Linked DNA regions of Macaca mulatta. The protein of the gene in region 1 purifies or fractionates together with the protein of each later gene. This does not show direct contact. Links are inferred from orthologs where the notes say so. Each region holds a gene or a part of one and is shown on either strand. Other genes may lie near its edges. The genes, in order: FYTTD1, NXF1 and DDX39B.

Region 1 (3,650 bases):
CCGCCCATCTCGGCCTCCCAAAGTGCTGGGATTACAGGCTTGAGCCACCGCGCCCGGCCATGGCTGCTTTTAAAATGTTTATTTTTATTTTGAATATACATAGGGTTTATCAACTTACATTTAGTGAATTTTATTTTTTTTTGATACTAGATGGCGGACTTCCACCACAAATGGAGGGATTTTGACTGTATCTATTGACAATCCTGGAGCAGTTCAATGCCCAGTGTAAGTTGTTTCTTTCTTTTTGCAAAAATTATAACCTCTCATTACACAAGATCATAAGAAAGTATTAGACTTCTGCCCAGAGAATGATGTCCAAGTGAGGATAAACCAGGCAGAAGTAATGCCTGTGATACAATATGGAAACAGTGTCATGTAAAGTTAAAAGGAAGAGTTTTCTGGATTCCTGATTCTGCAGCCCTAAATGACCATGTTGAACAGTGTTTTTTAATATTTTAAAAATTATGTGCATGTATATCATATGTACCCTCTTTTGGGGGCAAAGTCTGGCTCTGTTACCCAGGCTGGAGTATAGTGCCATGATCATGGCTTATTGCAGCCTTGACCTCCCAAGCTCAAGCAATCCTCCTGCCTCAGCCTCCCCAGTCCTGAGTAGCTGGGACTGCAGGTGCCACCACCATGAGTCCTGAGTAGCTGGGGCTGCAGGTGCCACCACCACACCTGGCTTTTTTGTTTGTTTGTGCCCAGACTGGTCTTGAACTCCTAGACTCAAGCAGTCCTCTCACCTTGGCCTCCCGAAGTGCTGAGGTTACAGGCGAGAGCCCTGCACCTGACCCAATATGTGTATTTTTATGTACAATAATAAACGAGATGACAGTATACATGCTACTTCTTCCCCCAATGCCTGTAATATTTTTGATGTCTTTATTTTTCAGACCATACAGACCTACCTTCTCTTTAAATTTATTGCTTTATAAACGTTGTCGATTTATGGAGCTTATGTTCTATTCAAGCATCTCTTTGATTTTTTTAAGAGATAAGGTCTACTCTGATGACCAGGCTGGAGTGCAGTGGTGCCATCATATCTCACTGCTGCCTCGAACTCCTGGGCTTCAATAATTCTCCTGCCTCAGCCTCCGAGTAGCTGGGAACATAGGCATGCACCACCACACCCAGCTAATTTTATTTTATTTATTTTATAATTTTTTTTGTAGAGGTGGGGTCTTGCTATGTTCCTTAGGCTGATCTCTAACCCCTGGCCTCAAGCGATCCTCCTGCCTTGGCCTCCCAAAGTACCAGGATTATAGGCCTGAGCCACAGTGCGTAGCCATCCAGCCATCTTAATGATTGAAATGAAAAGAGTGTAGGATGGGTGCCTAGGACTTTAGAGGTTGCTTTATTTTAATGGAAGATCAAGAGTTAGGAATCACCAAACATTCCAACTTGTTGAAAAGTTTGTAGTTCTATTTAAAGAGGTATTCTCTGAACAATGATATATTTTAGTATAGAGTAGCCAATGACACCGTTTTTTTGAAAACACAAATAAAATGGCCCTAATACATTTGAACATGTGTACAGGATGTCTTAAGTACCAAATTAATTTATTTTTCCTTTCATTGTTAAGCTGCTCTGATACTTTAATATTTTTCTAATAGAACTCAGAAACCACGATTAACTCGCACTGCTGCACCTTCATTTTTAACAAAGCGGGAGCAAAGTGACGCCCGGAAAGTTCCTAAAGGTGTTCCCCTACAGTTTGACATAAACAGCGTCGGAAAACAGGTAAAAAACATTTTCTGTATTTTCTTGGGTCATCTGCTGAGAATATTTTAATTAACAAAACATTTATTATAATCGTGAATTATAAACAAGGTATCCTAACTGCCCCCTGAAACCTAGGGAACCACTAACCCACTTCTGTCTGCCAGTTTGCCTATTTTGACATTTCATATAAATCAGATCATACAGTATATATTTGTGACTGAATTGTTTCACTTAGCATAATGTTTTCAAGGTTCATCTATATTGTGTCCGTATTTAATTTTGTTTTCCTGCTGAACAGTGTTCATCATATGTATATACCACATCTTATTTATTCCTTCGTTACTGGATGGGTATTTGGGTGTTTTCACTCCTCGGACACTATGAATAATCCTACTCTGAGCATTTGCGCAGAAGTTTTTGTGTGAGCATCTGTTTTCATTTCTCCCTGGTAAATACCTAGGAGTAGAATTGCTAGGTTTATAGTAACTCTTTTTTTGTTTGTTTGTTTGTTTGTTTTTGAGACGGAGTCTCGCTCTGTCGCCCAGGCTGGAGTGCAGTGGCCGGATCTCAGCTCACTGCAAGTTCCACCTCCCGGGTTCACGGCATTCTCCTGCCTCAGCCTCCCAAGTAGCTGGGTCCACAGGCGCCCGCCACCTCACCCGGCTAGATTTTTTTTTGTATTTTTAGTAGAGACGGGGTTTCACCATGTTAGCCAGGCTGGTCTCGATCTCCTGACCTTGTGATCTGCCCGTCTCGGCCTCCCAAAGTGCTGGGATTACAGGCTTGAGCCACCGCGCCCGGCCGGTTTATAGTAACTCTTTATCTAATCTTTTGAGGAACTGCTGGACTGTTTTCCTTAGAAGAGTCTGTGCTACAACTTTATATTCCCGCCAGCGTCTATGAGGGTTCTGAATTTCTCTATATCCTCACCAATACTCACTGTTATCTGCTGTTTGACTATAGCCATCTAGCAAGATTACAGGATACAAGGATAATAACAAATTGTCAAAACCGACCAGGCGCGGTGGCTCACGCCTGTGTTCCCAGCACTTTGGGAGGCCGAGGTGGGCAGATCACCTAAAGTCAGGAGTTCGAGACCAGCCTGGCCAACATGGTGAAATCCTGTCTCTACTAAAAATACAAAAATTAGCCTGGTGTGGTGGCAGGTGCCTGTCATCCCAGCTACTAGGGAGGCTGAGGCAGGAGAATTGCTTGAACCCAGGGGGCAGAGATGGCAGTGAGCTGAGATCGTGCCACTCACTCCAGCCTGGGCAGCAGAGCAATACTCATCTCCAAAAAAAAAAAAAGTCAAAAAGCACATTGACAATTTTGTATTAACCATATTAACCTTGTATCCTGTAATCTTGCTAAATTCACTTACTTTTGTATTGACTTTGTAGATTCCTTAGGACTTTTTTTTTTTTTTTTGAAACAGGGTCTCGCTCTGCCACCAAGACTGGAATGCAGTGGCATAATCATAGCTCACTGTAGCCTTGACTTCCCAGGCTCAAACGATCCTTCCTCCCACCTCAGCCTCCTGGGTAGCTGGGGATACAGGCACACACCACCACACCTGGGGATGCAGGCACACACCACCACGCCTGGGGATGCAGGGACACACCACCACGCCTGGGGATGCAGGCACACACCACCACGCCTGGGGATGCAGGCACACACCACCACGCCTGGGGATGCAGGCACACACCACCACGCCTGGGGATGCAGGCACACACCACCACGCCTGGGGATACAGGCGCACACACCACCATGCCTGGGGATACAGGCGCACACACCACCACACCTGGGGAGGGCACACACCACCACACATGGGGATACAGGGACACACACCATGCCTGGGGATGCAGGCACACACCACCAGGCCTGGGGATACAGGCACACACCACACCTGGGGATGCAGCCACACA
Region 2 (3,067 bases), on another chromosome or scaffold:
AGCCAGGATGGTCTCGATTTCCTGACCTTGTGATCCGCCCGTCTTGGCCTCCCAAAGTGCTGGGATTACAGGCTTGAGCCACCGCGCCCGGCCAATTTTTGTATTTTTCATAGAGACGGGGTTTCACTGTGTTGGCCAGGCTAGTCTCCAACTCCTGACCTCATGATCCGCCTGCCTTATCCTCCCAAAGTGTTGGGATTAGAGTCATGAGCCACCGCGCCCAGCCATTTTGTTTGTATTTTTAGTAGAGACAGGGTTTTGCCATGTTGCTCAGGCTGGTCTTGAACTCCTGGGCAAAAGCTGTTCATCTGCCTCAGCCTCCCAAAGTGCTGGGATTACAGACATGAGCCTCCATGCCCGGCCACAACTCACTCTTGGGAGCTACTGGGTCCTTTTATGGCTCTAGACCACATAGTTCATACTTTCTCTTTTGATTTTCCCATAGGTACTATGCAATTTATGACTCTGGAGACCGGCAAGGGCTCCTGGATGCCTACCATGATGGGGCCTGCTGTTCCCTGAGCATTCCTTTCATTCCTCAGAACCCTGCCCGGTGAGTATCACATCCCAGAATCTCCCCGGGACCACTGGGTTTCCCAGCAGATACAAGGGAGCACCTGCTGGCAGCACTGCTCTGAACACCACGTCCAATCCTCTTATTCCCCCAGAAGCAGCTTGGCCGAGTATTTCAAGGATAGCAGAAATGTGAAGAAGCTTAAAGACCCTAGTAAGTGTGTGATATGAACAAAATACGATGGGAAAAGGGCATGGGAAGGAATCAGTCATAGAACTCAGGAGTATGTGGCAGCACCGCTGAGCTTTCTCCTCCACCCACAGCCTTGCGGTTCCGGCTGCTGAAGCACACGCGTCTCAACGTTGTTGCCTTCCTCAACGAGTTGCCCAAAACCCAGCATGACGTCAATTCCTTCGTGGTAGACATAAGCGCCCAGACAGTAAGCTCCTGTTGGTGCCCTGACAGAAGCCTAAAATTGGGGTGGGGGTGGCATTTAATAGACAAGGGGGGGCACTCAGGCTCTGAGAAGTGTACATTGTACCCGATGCTGCTTCTCTTTCAGAGTACACTGCTGTGTTTTTCTGTCAATGGAGTCTTCAAGGAAGGTAAGAATCTCTGGAGTCCTGAGTTTGTAGCATGGTCCCACCCCCAGCTGGAATTTTCCTCAGCACTCTTAGCCTCCCAGCTACTTTCTCTCCCATTTTCTTTTTGAGCTCCTTCTCCCATTCTGAACCCAAGCCGTCTTGGCTTGGCCTGCCTCTCCACCTGTCCTTTCTGGCTATGGGAAAAGCCTGGGGATTAGGAGGACTTTGGAGTCAGGCAGTTCTTAGTTTCCATCCCAGTTTTGGTTGTGTGGGGCTGCGGACAAGTAACATTACCTCTAAGACAGATTCTTTATTTGTAAGTTGGGGTTAAGTAATAGCCATCTCATAGTGGTGCTATAGGAAGTAACTGAAGTGACTTACAAAGTGCTTGGCCTGGGGCCTGGCACACAGATGCTATCAGTGGATTAGTAGTAATTACTTTTTTTTGAGACGCACGCACGCACTCTGTCACCAGGCTGGAGCGCAGTGGCGCAGTCTTGGCTCACTGCGACCTCCGCCTCCTGGGTTCAACTGGTTCTCCTGCCTCAGCCTCCCAAGTAGCTGGGCCTATAGGCGCGCACCACCACGCCCAGCTAATTTTTGTATTTTTAGTACAGACGGGGTTTCGCCATGTTGGACGGGATCCACCTGCCTTGGTCTCCCAAAGTGCTGGGATTATAACCATGAGACACCACGCCCGGCCGTAGTTATTACTATTGTCCTTTCTGACCTGACCTTTCACCCCACCTCTGCTTCCCTTATACCCTTATATACTTAATCATCCCTCTCTGACCCGCTAGGATTCTTTGTATCAAAGAAGACCATGATTCAAGAAGCTGTTTGTAAACATAAAGCACTAGTGACCCTAAGGTGTCGTTGCTGTTCTCATTGCAGTGGACGGAAAGTCCCGGGATTCTTTGCGAGCCTTCACCCGGACGTTCATTGCTGTTCCTGCTAGCAATTCAGGGTAAGTATTCTGCTTTTCACATTGGATACCAGTCCTAATCATGGCCAACAGTGTGGTAATTGGAAGGTAGAGTCAGTCTTTGGGGTGATTTCAGAAAGGCAACAGGAAATCAGGGAAAGCTCACATAGTAGTTAAGAGCAAGTTAGTTAATAGCTTGGCTCTGGAATTGTGCCGTCTGGGTTTTCATCCTGGCTCCACCACTTCCAGCAAGTAGGCTGCTGCCTCATCTGAAAATTCATTTAACAATATTCACTGCCTAAGTTTGTCGTGAGGATGAATAAAAGAGCTAAGAACTGTCCATGGGTTGGGAGAACTCTAGTGTGTTTGGTAGATAATCCTTCCAAACATTGATTCCATGGGAGGGGATAAATGATAAAAGGTAACAATAGCTAAGGGGGGAGGGAGGGACCTTGTGGATATTGAAAGAATCAGAGAATAGGAATGATGGGAGGATGACGTTATCTGTCTAGCTTTTTAAGTGCTCTTTGTCCTCAAGGCTATGCATTGTAAACGACGAGCTATTTGTGCGGAATGCCAGTTCTGAAGAGATCCAAAGAGCCTTCGCTATGCCTGCGCCCACGCCTTCCTCCAGCCCAGTGCCCACCCTCTCTCCAGAGCAGCAGGAAATGTTGCAGGCATTCTCTACCCAGTCTGGCATGAACCTCGAGTGGTCCCAGAAGTGAGTACTGGGCATGTGTAGGACGGGGTGAACTGAAGGAGGGCTAGTAGTAAATAATGAGAGCTCCTGATGGTTTTTTTGTGTGTGTTTTTAGTTTTTTTTTATAGAGACAAGTTCTTGCTCTGTCATCCAGGCTTGAGTGTAGTGGTGATCATAACTCACTGTAGCCTCTAACTGCTGAGCACAAGCTATCCTCCCACCTCAGCCTCCAGAGTAGCTGGGCCTATAGGCATGTGCCACCTTTTTTTTTTCTTTTTGAGATGGAGTCCTGCTCTGTTGCCCAGGCTGGAGTGCAGTGGTGCGATCTTGGCTCATTGCAACCT
Region 3 (4,144 bases), on another chromosome or scaffold:
ATTAGGTGAATAGTTGGTTAGGGATCTGGGCCTTGGTACAGTGTCAAATAACACCAGAAACTCTAGTTTTAAGGGGGAAAAGAATGACCATGGAATCAGACTGTCACGATGCTAATCCTATGGTAAACCTAAAGTCACTAATGAGGCCAGGCACAGTGGCTCACACCTGTAATCCCAGCACTTTGGGAGGCCGAGGTGGGTGGATCACTTGAGGTCAGGAGTTCGAGACCAGCCTGGCCAACATGGCGAAACCCTGTCACTACCAAAAAAAAAAAAAAAAAATTAGCCGGGTATGATGGCACACTGTAGTCCCAGCCACTCAGCAGGTTGAAGCAGGAGAATCGCTTGAACCTGGGAGGTGCAGGCTGCAGTGAGCTGAGATCGCACCACTACACTCACAGCCCAGGGGACGCAGCAAGACTCCATCTCAAAACAAATAAATAAAAATAAAAATAACTAACATAAGTCAACCCGATTTCTGGCATAACAGGAGATACAGCATCACCTATGAAGGATAATTGCCAAAAATGCTTAACTTCAATCAGATTTTTTTTTTTTGAGATGGGAGTCTCACTCTGTCACCCAGGCTGGAGTGTAGTGGCACAATCTCAGCTCACTATAACCTCTGCTTCCTGGGTTCAAGCGATTCTCCTGCCTCAGCCTCCCAAGTAGGTAGGACTACAGGTGTGTGCCACCACGCCCGGCTAATTTTTGCATTTTTAGTAGAGACAGGGTTTCATCGCATTGGCCACACTGGTCTCGAACTCCTGACCTCAAATGATCCACATGCCTTGGCCTCCCAAAGTGCTGAGATTACAGGTGTAAGCCGCTGCGCACTTGGCCAGAATCCTCAATATTCACACACCCCTGAAGCTGTTTTAAAGTTTCTGGCTTTCTCTGCCACACACCCCAAAATTACCAAACTGATAGGATTCAAAGTCAGTATAAAGTAGTAAAAAAAGGGTGGTCTCGGTTAAGCATCATCCATAGCCCAATTACGAATCCTCCCGTTACATAGGATCTTAACACTGTTAAACCATGGCAAACTAAAACTTCTCCAAAATTAAAGAGACTACTGGCCTACAAGTTTCTTATCCCTCCAACTTGCCACACCCTCACTCTGAGGTCTCTTTACCTCGGCTTACCTTGACATTGGGCATGTATTTAGAGAAGCGCTCATATTCCTTGCTGATCTGAAAAGCCAACTCCCGAGTGTGACACATCACCAGCACAGACACCTTAGGCAGGAAGTAGACCGAGACATACCATGAGTGTAGCCCTTCATCGTTCCCTCTAGGGAAGTGACTGACAAAAACACACCTGGGCCGATAATAAATGACTTCAATTCTGTGATCTAAATCACGAACCCCATGCTTGGATAGAACATTCCCCACAGCTGTCAGGTTGTCAAGGGTAACCGAGGTCATCATGTAGCTAGGACAAAAACACCCTTCCCTTATAGTCCTAACCAAAACCCCTTCCCCAGCACTCTCCCCAAATATACCTGCCCAGTAACTGGCTCCAGCTGTTGCAGTGTGGCCAACACAAACACTGCTGTCTTTCCCATGCCCGACTTGGCCTGGCACAGGACATCCATTCCCAGAATGGCCTGAGGGATGCACTCATGCTGGACTAAAAGTAGGGAGGAAAGATAAATTAGACTTCAGTCTCCAGATAACTCTACAACCTTTTTCATCATGCCAAGCCCATTTCTTACCACTCAATTCTCAAAATCTAGTATTTACCTGGTTCTTGCCAACTTCCAGACCCCTTTTTCCTCTCTCTGCTCAATTATATTCACCTCAAAATCAGACTCTCCTAATTCATCCCAGCTTTGGCCTCCTCCAGATCTAGGCCTTCCCAGTCCTACTAACAGCCCCCTTGCATCTACCAACCGCTCACCTTCAATGCTCCTGGCTCTGTCCTTATTTTTCTTAATCTGTAACAATTCATGACATCTGAATACCTGCTAAAGACATTTCTCCTACTTAGGTTGCCATACTTCGGGTCACATAACAACAACCCGGGACAAAATGAAGGACTTGGTACCTGACCCAGAAGCCAGTCATCTCTAAACCAGTCATAGAGGTTTCCAGAGGCCACAGTTGGCCTGGCCCAACAGAGGGAGACTACAGGTCCAATCAGGACCTTTCTGGAAATTTAAAATTACAAGTCAAATGACAAAATTAAAAATAAGCAGACAAAAGAAGTCAGTCACAAGAATGAATGGCAGACCTAGAAGCTACTTTTGGATAATTAGCACTTTGGTGCTATCATGAAAGAAAGAACAAGTCTGTATAATCCTCCTCTATCCAAAATCGTTTTCGATACTTATCTCCTGATTTTTTTTTTCCTCACTGTCTCCCCGGCTGGTGTACAGTAGTGCAATCACGGCTCACTGAAGCCTCAACCTTCACCTGCTTCGTTTAGTAGAGACAGGAGTCTCCCTATCTTGCCCAGGCTTCTCTTGCACTCGAGCTCAAGTGACCACCCCTCCTGCCTTGCCCTCCCAAAGCGCTGGGATTACAGGCGTGAGCCCCTGCACCTGACCCTGATCTAGCCTTAAGTATAAACTTTTACCACCTGAGCAACAACAAACACATCTTTTTATTGTACCCTTAAAGAGCCCAATGAGCACTACATGCCCAAGAGAAAATTTACCTTCTGACGGATGCTCAAAGCCACAGTCGACAATGGCCCGGAGCAACTCTGGCTTGAGCAGGAAGTCACGAAAGCCAGAGCTGTGGATGGAGACATAGGAGCCCTTGACATCCTTCTTGGCAGGGGCCTCAGCCCCATCTCCCCCAGCTGCTGTCTCCACCTCATCATCTTCATAGTCCAAGAGCTCATTGTCCACATCGTTCTCTGCCATAACTGGGCCGGCAGGGGAAGACGGGAAGGGGAATCTGGATGGGTTCTCGCAAAACAGGTGAAAACAAGGGGTGAAGAGTAGGGGATTGAGGAACAGCAAAGGAAAATAAAGATACTATTTCTAACAGAAGAGCTGGGGAGGGGGAAAAAAAAAAAAGCAAGACTTAGTCACGAGCAGAGCCTTCACCACCTCTTTTCCATTCCCAGTTCCCACTTTCCCTAAACTAGGAAACTTTTACATGGAAAAAAAAACAGATACACAACATAAAAACGAAAAGCAAATACAACAGAACAGAAAAAGCAGCACCAGCGAAAGTGGTTAGGACACAGGTTCCCAACAAGATTAGCAATCACAGTAGCGGAAACCAGAAAAGTTGGAAGGGGAAGACCAACTTATAAATTCTTAATCTGAAAATAAGTGAGGAAATATAATAGATAATAAAAGATAAAATATGATTAATAACTTAGTAAAGTGGAAAATGGAGATGACAAGCAGAGTCCTGGAAAGTCCTCAAAGGAAGACTGTGCTTTCCCTATTATAATCCCACCGTTATGGATGCCTAACTCAGCAGCCATCAGTCAAGGGTGATAGATGAGGGTCATCACTGCGCAAAGCGCTCATCTTTCGAAAAGAAAACATCATATGGCCGCCGTCCACCTCCCATAGCTCTCAGCCTCCCACTTCTCAGTATCCTCTCTTCCGTTGTTTAAGAAAGCCTTGTGTAATTAGCATGGGGGGGAGGGGCGGTGCAAGACAAATGGCTCGGCCACCAAAAACAAAAAAAATCCATGTCTCCACCCTACAATAACAAAGTTAATAGTTGACAGAGAAAGGCAATCCCCGCCCAGGCTTTAACAGGATCTTTACCAAGTGGTCTGACATCACTGTTGCGCTACGAAGGTGAGACTCCTTTTGGAGAAACATACAATGACACCAATAGTAAACACTTGTAAGGCACTCCAAATTAACTTGGGCGAGTCAAGGTGAGAAAAATCCAACTGGGCCCAAAAACCGGCTCCTCCTCCCAGTCCCACCGTGGGCCAAGAAAGGGCTCAAGAAAGGACAAGTAAGGTGATAAGAGCCCCGCCCTCCGCAAATACCAAGACCAAGGGACGCCTAGCGCCGCCTCTCATTGATGCTGAGGCCTCCAATATGAAAAGAACCTACTGGAAGAAGGGAGCAAAACGAACACAATGGCGCCGAGGACACCATCTTGGATTGGGCCCCCCCTTAGCTTCCCTTCCTTCCCCCAAGAGCTCTTTGCTCTCGAAA

Evidence for each region.
Region 2: the proteins of FYTTD1 (region 1) and NXF1 purify together in Homo sapiens (affinity purification with western blotting; 3 studies listed by BioGRID and IntAct, with this or other methods). This does not show direct contact. The link is inferred for Macaca mulatta from reciprocal best matches to the Homo sapiens genes FYTTD1 and NXF1.
Region 3: the proteins of FYTTD1 (region 1) and DDX39B purify together in Homo sapiens (affinity purification with mass spectrometry; 5 studies listed by BioGRID and IntAct, with this or other methods). This does not show direct contact. The link is inferred for Macaca mulatta from reciprocal best matches to the Homo sapiens genes FYTTD1 and DDX39B.

Annotation. Positions count from the first base shown.
Region 1 is NC_133407.1:1,160,308-1,163,957, reverse strand, and holds part of FYTTD1 (UAP56-interacting factor), read left to right. Parts: intron 1-150; coding exon 151-225; intron 226-1,616; coding exon 1,617-1,743; intron 1,744-3,650. UniProt on the Homo sapiens protein: Required for mRNA export from the nucleus to the cytoplasm. Acts as an adapter that uses the DDX39B/UAP56-NFX1 pathway to ensure efficient mRNA export and delivering to the nuclear pore.
Region 2 is NC_133419.1:11,261,713-11,264,779, forward strand, and holds part of NXF1 (nuclear RNA export factor 1), read left to right. Parts: intron 1-445; coding exon 446-553; intron 554-668; coding exon 669-727; intron 728-837; coding exon 838-953; exon of another isoform or gene 954-967; intron 968-1,076; coding exon 1,077-1,119; intron 1,120-1,958; exon of another isoform or gene 1,959-1,992; coding exon 1,993-2,065; intron 2,066-2,561; coding exon 2,562-2,744; exon of another isoform or gene 2,745-2,790; intron 2,791-3,067.
Region 3 is NC_133409.1:150,789,294-150,793,437, reverse strand, and holds the start of DDX39B (spliceosome RNA helicase DDX39B), read right to left. Parts: upstream 2,873-4,144; coding exon 2,662-2,872; intron 1,633-2,661; coding exon 1,505-1,632; intron 1,239-1,504; coding exon 1,146-1,238; intron 1-1,145. UniProt on the Homo sapiens protein: Involved in nuclear export of spliced and unspliced mRNA. Component of the TREX complex which is thought to couple mRNA transcription, processing and nuclear export, and specifically associates with spliced mRNA and not with unspliced pre-mRNA.